Neodiprion lecontei: one gene and its partner. Each later gene encodes a partner of the first gene's protein in a complex. Links are inferred from orthologs where the notes say so. Each region holds a gene or a part of one and is shown on either strand. Other genes may lie near its edges.

Evidence for each region. Proteins that work in one complex are often made in the same cells at the same time.
Region 2: pre-mRNA-processing factor 17 (region 1) and pre-mRNA-splicing factor RBM22 share a complex: the UniProt entries of both Homo sapiens proteins name them as parts of the postcatalytic spliceosome P complex. The link is inferred for Neodiprion lecontei from reciprocal best matches to the Homo sapiens genes CDC40 and RBM22.

What each region holds. Positions count from the first base shown.
Region 1 is NC_060261.1:15,302,096-15,307,999, forward strand, and holds pre-mRNA-processing factor 17, read left to right. Parts: upstream 1-1,725; 5' UTR 1,726-1,879; coding exon 1,880-2,080; intron 2,081-2,153; coding exon 2,154-2,370; intron 2,371-3,244; coding exon 3,245-3,571; intron 3,572-3,653; coding exon 3,654-3,868; intron 3,869-3,929; coding exon 3,930-4,193; intron 4,194-4,259; coding exon 4,260-4,393; intron 4,394-4,618; coding exon 4,619-4,840; intron 4,841-5,076; coding exon 5,077-5,254; 3' UTR 5,255-5,369; downstream 5,370-5,904. UniProt on the Homo sapiens protein: Required for pre-mRNA splicing as component of the activated spliceosome. Plays an important role in embryonic brain development; this function does not require proline isomerization.
Region 2 is NC_060262.1:27,059,806-27,064,082, reverse strand, and holds pre-mRNA-splicing factor RBM22, read left to right. Parts: upstream 1-1,818; 5' UTR 1,819-1,952; coding exon 1,953-2,006; intron 2,007-2,103; coding exon 2,104-2,157; intron 2,158-2,365; coding exon 2,366-3,481; 3' UTR 3,482-3,755; downstream 3,756-4,277. UniProt on the Homo sapiens protein: Required for pre-mRNA splicing as component of the activated spliceosome. Involved in the first step of pre-mRNA splicing.

The sequences.
Region 1 (5,904 bases):
GATGACTTTAATGAACTCTCTCCGCAGTCTGTGATTCAGCCAGATATCTGAATAGGATTTTGGTGGTCTGAAAGCTAGTATGAACATTCTATAGATGCAGGAGGCCGTGCATATGAGGTGTGAACTTTAGAACAGAGTCGTTGAACGGAATATTTTATTTACATGAATGACAATATGTGAATTAAGATATTTAAGTAGTAGTTCTGGTTTCTTTGTGGGATAAAGATTCCGATGAAAAATATTTTAGGAATAAATGGACGTGCTGTTATAAATATTACCGAAAACTTGCAGAGAAAGCTTGATTTGCAATGTAGATGCACTGTTTTTCAAATCAATAATACCACTCTACTTTATATACATAAGAAAATCAAGTTAAATGCCCTGGCATGAATGGGAAATACGTTTAAGGTTCTAGAAACCTCTACAATAAATTTATTAATACGCAGGTTTAACATACTTTGCGACAGAAAGCAGTTTTACGGATACTTCACATAAACTGATAACCCGCGTACAAAGCAGCACTGATAAAGGCAAAAAAGTAATGGCAACTTACCTGGACCTTGCTAAAGCTTTCGATACAATACCGCATGAATAATTACTCAACAAACTCGAGGCAACAGGAATACAAGGAACAGCAAAATGGTTTCGAAGCTAGCTGAAGGTGAGAACACAGAGAGCGAAAATTGGAAACACATACAGCGAGAAAACGAAGTTACTCTGCGGAACCCCGCAAGGAATTATGCCCTCAGCTCTACTCTTCAAGATTTATCACAAAAACACACACCAAACATGGACAAGAAATAGAAGAATACATTGCAAACAAAGTATAAAACAGACTACCCCCGCAAATGAAGAAAAATGAAGATGTACTCCTTCAAGAAATCAATTACACCATGGCTACTACAGGCAGGCAGAACACTATACGAAGAGTTGACAAATACAGGGATTTAGAACATATAAATTAAGAAACAGTTAACTTTTAACAAAAACAGAAAAAAACAACAATAGAAAAATATATTGTAAAAAAAAAATCTACACCCCATGCACCATACTTGCAGATAACACAATTAAACAGATAAACATCCTACAATCCTGCGCGCGAGTTTAGACTCATGTAGGAACAATTCACACTGAAATACAAATGTATGTAAAAACCTATATGAGGGAATAAACGATAAACAATAATTTCTTTCAAACTTTTCAGTGGACATTTGGCCTATTTTGAAAAATAGTCAAATTCTTCGATGCACCACATCGACATAATTTTGTGAGAGGAATCGATTGCGCACAGTTCGAATATGCAATCAGATTCTTCATCTCGCTTTTTTATTTACCACATTTCTTTACACTTCCAATTAGGAATTCTAGATTTTAAAATTCTTCGAATAAAAATGTAATGGACCTTAGCCATTGACCTAACCACGTGGGTTTCGATCATGTTTCGATGCGCGGCTTTTGCCATTGCGTCGGTACTCATTTTCATGAGCGACTTTTCCCGCTAACGGCGTGGCGATGCCGCGTCAAGTTACCATCGTGTCAATTAGACGCCCGTGAAAGTCCAGCCTGTAATCATACGACTCGGTTGGTAAATGAACGTGTCAGTAGGGATTTTATCGGTAATAAATACATTGCTCTGTAATTTCTAAGTTTTCCTGATGCGACGCCACATGCAAGCTGGTTGCTAGCGCCACTTTAAGAAAACTACACACATTCATTTACAAATACATTACAAATGCTTCAGAGGGTGTCGAGTTATGTTTGGTACTTTGGTTATATTTATTAAACGTCACTAGTATACGACTAACGAAATATTGTTTTGCAAATAAGTCCTGCTGGTTTATACTTTCTAAGTTAAAAGTTGCGTCGAATAAAATAGAAAATGCTCGCGCTCAAAGAGTATGTGAGTAGCGATGATAACAGTGAATCCGAAGAAGCATCAAGTGTCCCTGCAACAGAGATTGAGGTTAACGATTCGACCATTTCAACCGATGAAGCAGTGCATTTAAAACCACTGCCTGGAGGGAAATCCATATCTTCTCTCGCCCTCCAAGTCAGATTAGCCCCAGAAGTTGTTCCAACGGTAAATAAATTTATTTATATCACCTTGTGATTAAATTGTCATTGTTAATTATTACATTTAAATTGTTTATTAGGGCACAGAACTATGCGTTCGACACATAGATTCTACGTCAAAAGAGGTAATGCACAATCCAAAATTTGAGGAACTCTTTGCACCTGATGTAGGACCAGATAATCCATTCAAAACACAGCAGCAGAGAGCAACAAAAAACATGCTCTCTGGATACGTGGAACAAGCGCATATCAGTGAATTTCAGTTCGAAAACCAGCGTCGAACTTTTACAAGTTACGGTCGGTATTACCCATGACTGTATATTAGGGTGTTTTGATGCAAAATTTTTATTTTGAACTCTACCTGAAAAACTTATCCATAAGATAAGCAAAATCCTCTCCAACGGATAACTGTTACATCCAATTTTAAAAGATTGTTCAAATAATTGAAATTCAAAGATTTTGTATTCAAATGGTATGGAACAGATTTCAAATTTTTTTTTTTTCAATTGTCATCACTGAACTACGATTAGTAAACAAGTAAGTTCTTGACTAAAGTTTTCATTGAGTGAAATTTATAACTCAAACGACTCGTAAGTTGTGATACTCGGGTAAAAGGTCAGTTTTTTCCATAAAATCATCTTTAAATGTTTTTTGTGGCTAAATTACTGGCTTTACAATAAAAATCTTCATGGCGAATTTGTAGGCAATTCAATTCTCTATAAATATGCTCCGTGGACCAAAGTCTATAGCTTCAATAGTTCACAATTTGTAAGTCTTGAAAGTTAACTTTGTGTAGAAATTCATTTTTAAATATCTTTAGTGGCTAAATTATTAAGTGTACAACAAAACCTCGGCACTTTTTGGAAAGTTACATTCTCTACAAATTACTTCCACGATTAAGTCTGTATCATTAAATGCAGCTGAGTATTAAGAATTTGAAAAAATGTAATCTGCTCCATGCTATTTAATGGGGAAACTTACAATTTTGATAGCGACCTTTTCAAATTGGATTTAAGTGATATCTTTTTGTTCGAATTTTTCTGTTGAATTGTACAAGTTTATCAGGTGGGAATGAAAAAAAAAAAGTTCTTGTCAAACTAAGTTACTTGTTCATCAATTCTGCAACCCTTGCGAGTGAAGTTTATTTAACGGAAAAACTTTGATTCATCAGGGTACGCATTGGATCCCACAGTTGATGGTAGTACAGAAGAAGGAAAAACTCTTGTCGGCGCCAAAGAGGCTGCCGAAGAGACTGGAGCAAAGACAGTATTTGAAAATACCGAATTGAGACCTGCAGACAAGAGAAAAAGAAACAGAAACAATGATCCAGCCGATATTGAAGGATTCTTGGGTCCTTGGGGAGGCTACGTAGACGAAAGACGAGTGATAAAACCTACCGAGGAAGAAGCTGCTGAGCTTGAAGAAATCTTAGCCAAAAGAAATAAGAGGGGCAAACAGACCGAAGATAAACCACTTGAGGAGAAGACTGTGCTGCACAGTGAGTTTAATTTGCTGATGGTCATTCAGTTGAAATTCGCTAGATTGTGATGTGCAACACATTGTTATTCACTCTTTTTTAGTCAAGGACAGTGTGGATTACCAAGGTCGATCATTCCTGCACGCACCACAAGATGTGGGTGTCAATCTACGGTCAGAATCACCACCCGATCGATGTTTCTTACCAAAATCCCAAATTCATACGTGGGAAGGACACACCAAGGGTATTTCGCAAATTCGGTGGTTCCCACGAACGGCGCATTTGCTTCTTTCCTGCAGCATGGACTGTAGAGTCAAGGTGAGTTGTCAATAAAGCACAATGCCTCATACCTTAACTAACGTTTCATTTATTCTTACAGCTGTGGGAGGTGTACAAAGACAGGAGGTGTGTTCGTACTTATTACGGGCATCGACAGGCTGTGCGCGATGTCAGTTTTGATAATGACGGAAAACGGTTTCTGTCTGCCGGCTACGACAGATATGTTAAACTTTGGGATACTGAGACTGGCGCTTGCCTTAGTCGTTTTACCAGTCGGAAAATACCTTATTGTGCAAAGTTTAATCCTGATCCAGACAAGCAGCATCTGTTTGTAGCTGGAACAAGTGATAAAAAAATCATTTGCGTAAGTAATATGAGTTTTGCAGTATGAATTGACCCAATTTAATCAATGTCATTTTCTCTTCATTAGTGGGATATCAGGTCTGGTGAGATTACTCAGGAATATGACAGACACTTGGGTGCTGTTAACACGATTACATTCGTTGATGAAAATCGAAGATTCGTCACAACTTCGGACGACAAAAGTCTCAGAGTGTGGGAATGGTATGTAAGAAATGTGAGAGGTTAGCCATTTTCTAATCTGGTTTACACCACTCGTGAAATCATCTGAAATCTCATCAAATCTTAAAATCTTGTGAAATCATTAGTGATCTTTGAAATCATGTGAAACTTTCTAAATCGTGCGTTCTTGAAATCTGGTATACACAGAAATATATGAATGTGTACCATCAGGAATCTCAATATTCTAACTGAAAATATATTTTGTAGGGACATTCCGGTAGATATGAAGTACATAGCTGATCCAACGATGCACTCAATGCCAGCTGTTACTCCATCTCCAAACCAAAAGTGGCTTGCCTGCCAAAGTATGGACAATAAGATCGTGATATTCTCGGCTCTTAATCGGTTCAAAATGAATCGCAAGAAAACTTTTACCGGGCATATGGTCGCCGGATATGCTTGCGGACTTGACTTTTCTCCAGATATGAGGTAAGCCTTTGTGCCACTTGTACTTTACGTAAGGCTGTACAATTCATCTTAGACTTCGATTAATTGTTATTTCTAAGTTATCGATTAACTGAAAGGACCGATTTATCGATTGACCGAAAAAACGAGTAATTAAAAAAAAAAAGAACAAGATAATTCGATTAATCGCACAGCCCTATTGTAGGAATTCATTTCCTACGACTCAGTTGTGATACGCATCAACATCGTTTTACTTACAGCTATCTGGTTTCCGGAGACGCAGATGGTAAATGTTACATATGGGACTGGAAGACGACAAAACTGTACAAAAAGTGGAAAGCTCACGACGGTGTTTGCATCTCGACTCTTTGGCATCCTCACGAACCTTCTCGCCTAGCAACAGCTGGCTGGGATGGTAAAATCAAGTATTGGGATTAGAATCACGATTCCGTTGTATATGAATATTAAAATAAAATGAAAAAACAATTTGTATATTGTATAACTAAGTGTAATACCGAACATGTACATAAATCGACGATTTTATTTCTTTTTATACTTGTGTACATACTAGAATTCCTTGTAACTTGAAACTGTATCACTGATTCGTTATTCATGCATCTACTACCAATGGAGTTTCTTCACCACTATGGGATGAAGAAAATTGAGACAATCGTTAAAAGATGTGGACACCCTTATACACTTCACTTTTCAGTCAATTTTGGAAAATTGCTATTGATGCGAGGAAAGTTAAAAAAATAACCAACTATCGTATGGTTAATAGATATGTACTAGTTTAGCTGTATTTTAACCTTTGAAATTAGAAAAATTGTCCTTAACTGTTCAATTGTACTCATCATACTCGACGCAACACCTTTCGACATGTTTCACATGATTATGTCGAAACGATAGTGGAATTGTCAACAAACTTGGTACACATTCTATTTTGATGTACAGTTTTAGCAGAATCTAAAATAATTCAGTTGTAAACTAAACTCTGTCAGTTCTAAATTAAGGATGTGGTGGGTTCGATAATTTCAGTAGGTTTTTAGTAATTATATCGAATTTTAACACATATTTGGGTCATAACT
Region 2 (4,277 bases), on another chromosome or scaffold:
CCACGGAGCGCTTATCCTGGAAGTCGAGAAATTTTATCAGCGGACTGACAGCTACCGAATTTGGGGTTGCGCGAAAAACGAATTGAAATAATTTATTGTAAACGTGAACCAGGAACCACGGAGCGCTTATCCTGGAAGTCGAGAAATTTTATTAGCGGACTGACAGCTACCGAATTTGGGATTGCGCGAAAAACGAATTTAAATAATTTATTGTAAACATGAACCGGGAACCACGGAGCGCTTATCCGGGAAGTCGAGAAATTTTATTAGCGGACTGACAGCTACTGAATTTGGGATTGCGCGAAAAACGAATTGAAATAATTTATTGTAAACATGAACGAGGAACCACGGAGCGCTTATCCTGGAAGTCGAGTTTCACCGCGTAGCGGACCCGAAGCGCGGGATCCGGAAGGTTGAGAACCCAGTACTCGAAATACGTAGCGGACCCGAAGCGCGGGATCCGGGAGGTTGAGAACCCGGTACTCGAAATTTGCGGAGCGCGACTCTCATACGTCCGCTCTACTGCGCGGTTGTTTCCCGACTGAGGAATTCGGCTAGCTGATTTTGAATTGGTGACGTCACTTTCTGAACATCCGACATCCAAACTTTGGTTTCGAACTTTGATACTATGTATGATGATGTATGATGTACGATGTATGATGTATGATGTACGATGTACGATGTGTGATGTATGATGTATGATGATATGATATGATGTATAATGATTTTAGTTTTCACATTTCATACAAGAAATACACGCTTTATATCTTCTGCCGATTCCAGACTCAAGCGGCCAGGCCCTTCGATGGTCAGCCGTTGACTGAAGATATATCCTTCAGTTAACGGGTCAGCTAATAACGCTGCCGTTCTGCGACAGTTGGATGATGAAAAATTTCGCACGTATCTTTCAAATGTGTGTTAAAATACACTTTAAGTGTTAAGAAGCGTCGTTCTTTCTCTCCCTATCACCTTTCTAGGTCTTTAAATCACTGCGCAGCGTTAAATACTGTCTCATATACGAAGCATCCGTTTCATCTTGTTCAAAATTAGCGCATCCGTGATGTATTACAGTTACTCTGAATTTTTTTCCATCCGAATACTTTTCGAAAAACAATTCTGCTCCTCCACCCAACGCAGATACTTCACTTGCGACCAGCTAAAACAACGTTTCGATTCTATGCCTATGAAAATTCAAGATAGAGAGAGCAAGTGAAAAGTTGTTGGAATAATTATGAACATGAACGTTATGGAATACATGGAGCGCGTGTCGAATAGAATCCCATTTCGAAATGAATAATTCTTCTATTCTCGTATTATAGCTGTATTATTGTAGATAATCTAGTTTGTCTCCTGGACAATTATAAAATTCATAGTATGCATCACTTATTAATCGTTAATAAAATTTTACATGGACCGCATATACATATATACTTTCCGGTCTCTGCATCATTATTACATCTGATCTATTATTATTTATGATAATCGTCTATGGTAATATTCGGTAAGCACACGCAGGCTGCGTACTGGCTTGGGCTTACCATTGCGATGATCGTGTTACTCGGAAGGTGAATGCAGCCAGCATCATGTCGAAATCAGTAACTCTCTGATGATATGCAGCAAGATCTCACTTTTCATTCTACTGCGCAAGCACGGATCGGTCAGTAATTTTATTACTATATTTACGATCTTTTCGTCCCATGCGATGCTAGTGGCAGAGCGAAGAACTAATTGAAGGACGGGTTTTTCAGGACGCCGCTACTACATTCTCCTATGCTGTGTCCACTCCTTTACTCTAATCTCCATGGTTGTTACACCCACTGAAGTTATGCCTATGGACAGAGAAAGTATGTGATTGCGGTTATTTAGCGAAAACCCCAACAGCTGCGCCAGTGTCGCTAATCCACTTCCAAATTGTTCCATTTCGTAGAGTTCTTTAACGCTCGGATCTTGTAATGGCCACTTCCAAAACCACAAATACTTATAATAGACAAAATTGGGAAGATGCTGTAAGTTTGATACTATTTTGTATTGTTAAGTGATTTTTTCGTCAATGCTTCGTCTCTGTTGCAAATAGCCAAATTAATCCAATTCTTTCATTCACAGGAATTTCCGATCTTGTGTCAGACATGTTTGGGCGATAATCCGTATATTCGTATGGTAAGTAAATTATTTAATACATCAAATCTTTGTTGCATTACACCATCCCATCAGCACCTTAAATCAGCTAAAATTGTAATCACAACTGTGCAAGAGATTTTTACCTGTGTCAGTCACTTGAACCTAAACCTGTTCAAGTATTTAATAGTCAACATGAGATATTCTTTACATATAACATCTTGTTCACTATTTTGTGTATTTTTTGCAGACAAAGGAACGCTATGGCAAAGAATGTAAAATATGCATGCGTCCATTCACAGTATTCAGATGGTGTCCAGGTGCAAGAATGCGTTTCAAAAAGACTGAAGTTTGTCAAACATGTAGTCGTCTGAAAAACGTATGTCAGACATGCCTCTTAGACTTGGAATATGGCCTGCCAATCCAAGTACGAGATGCAGCGTTAAAAATTAAAGACGATTTGCCAAGATCTGATGTGAATAAGGAATACTATGTTCAGAACATTGACAATGAAATAGGCAAACTGGATGCAACAACTCCAGCAGGTGCTGTTGGTAAATCAGCTGCCGCCAGCGACTTGCTGATGAAGCTAGCAAGGACAAGTCCATATTATAAAAGAAACAGACCTCACATTTGCTCATTTTGGGTGAAAGGAGAGTGTAAGAGAGGGGAAGAGTGCCCTTATCGTCACGAAAAGCCCACAGATCCCGATGATCCATTAGCAGATCAAAATATCAAGGATCGTTATTATGGGGTAAACGATCCCGTTGCTGACAAATTGATGCGCAGAGCTGCAGCAATGCCAAAATTGGAACCACCAGAGGACAAATCAATAACAACTTTGTACATTGGAAATTTGGGAGATGTTTTAACGGAAAAACAATTGCGTGACCATTTCTATCAATATGGTGAAATTCGATCAATTACAATGGTGCCGCGGCAACAGTGTGCCTTTATTCAATACACACAGCGAAGTGCGGCGGAAGCTGCCGCTGAACGAACATTCAACAAACTAATACTGGGAGGAAGACGTTTGACCATAAAGTGGGGCAGGTCACAAGGCAGACAGGCTATTTCGGCCGCAGAAACAATCAAGGAAATGTTAGAGCCTGTTCCCGGGCTTCCTGGAGCACTACCCCCGCCACCTGAGAATATGGGCAACAATTTCTTCAATTTGCAAGCCACGCCAGGAATCATGATGATACCTCCACCTCCAGTAGCTCCACAATTTATGTTTACTCCTCCAATGGCTGCTGCTGCACCTATCTTTCCTCCAGGAACTACACCAATTCATTATCCAAGTCAAGACCCCTCAAGGATGGGAGCAACGCAGGGCATTGGCAAACCGTGGCCAGAAGAAGATTAATATTGGCATCAGTTTTAATATCGCTGTAAATATAAGACTTATATAATTACCTCTATTGCAAAAATAGCTTCATGCTTTGTCTTTATTATGAAAAACGAAGGGAGTTTGATAAAAATTGAGGAAACACTTGATAATTGGAAAATTTATATACCCATCTTCATTATTCACACTGTGGAAATAATAGGTCAGGTTTCACACCATACATAAACATTTACAATATTAAACTTCTCTGTATTAGATTACAAATAATAAAAACTAGAGCAAAGGTAAATGACATTATCTGTATTATTTATGTACCACGTCACTATTCAGTCTGACAAGATAGTTTTAACCACTGCCAGCAATTTGCTGCAATAGAGTATGAACGTAAAAATATATGAAATAATCACGTGAAATTTCAGAACATATTCCACTGAATTCACCTAGCACAATATGAAAGAAATTCAAAGGCCTGAAATAAGATGAGCAAGCCTATTATACAATAAAATACTTTATTCTGTAAGCTGCCATTAAAAAGATCTACATCATTACACATAATTGACCAAGATTTAAAAATTGTTTGCATATTAAACCATGATAAAATATATTTAGGTGAATAAATAATTTTGGCGTCGTATGAAGATCGATGAAAGAAGCGCGAGTCAAAAATTTGTAGATATAAAGATAAATTCGTGGAAGGCACTATGCATGTGAAAAAGTACGCACCCTTTAAAAAACATCATTTATATGTATTGAACATTACATGCCAAATCTGGATATCATTTCTGGACAGGATCATGTAACTCTTGTACTGTTT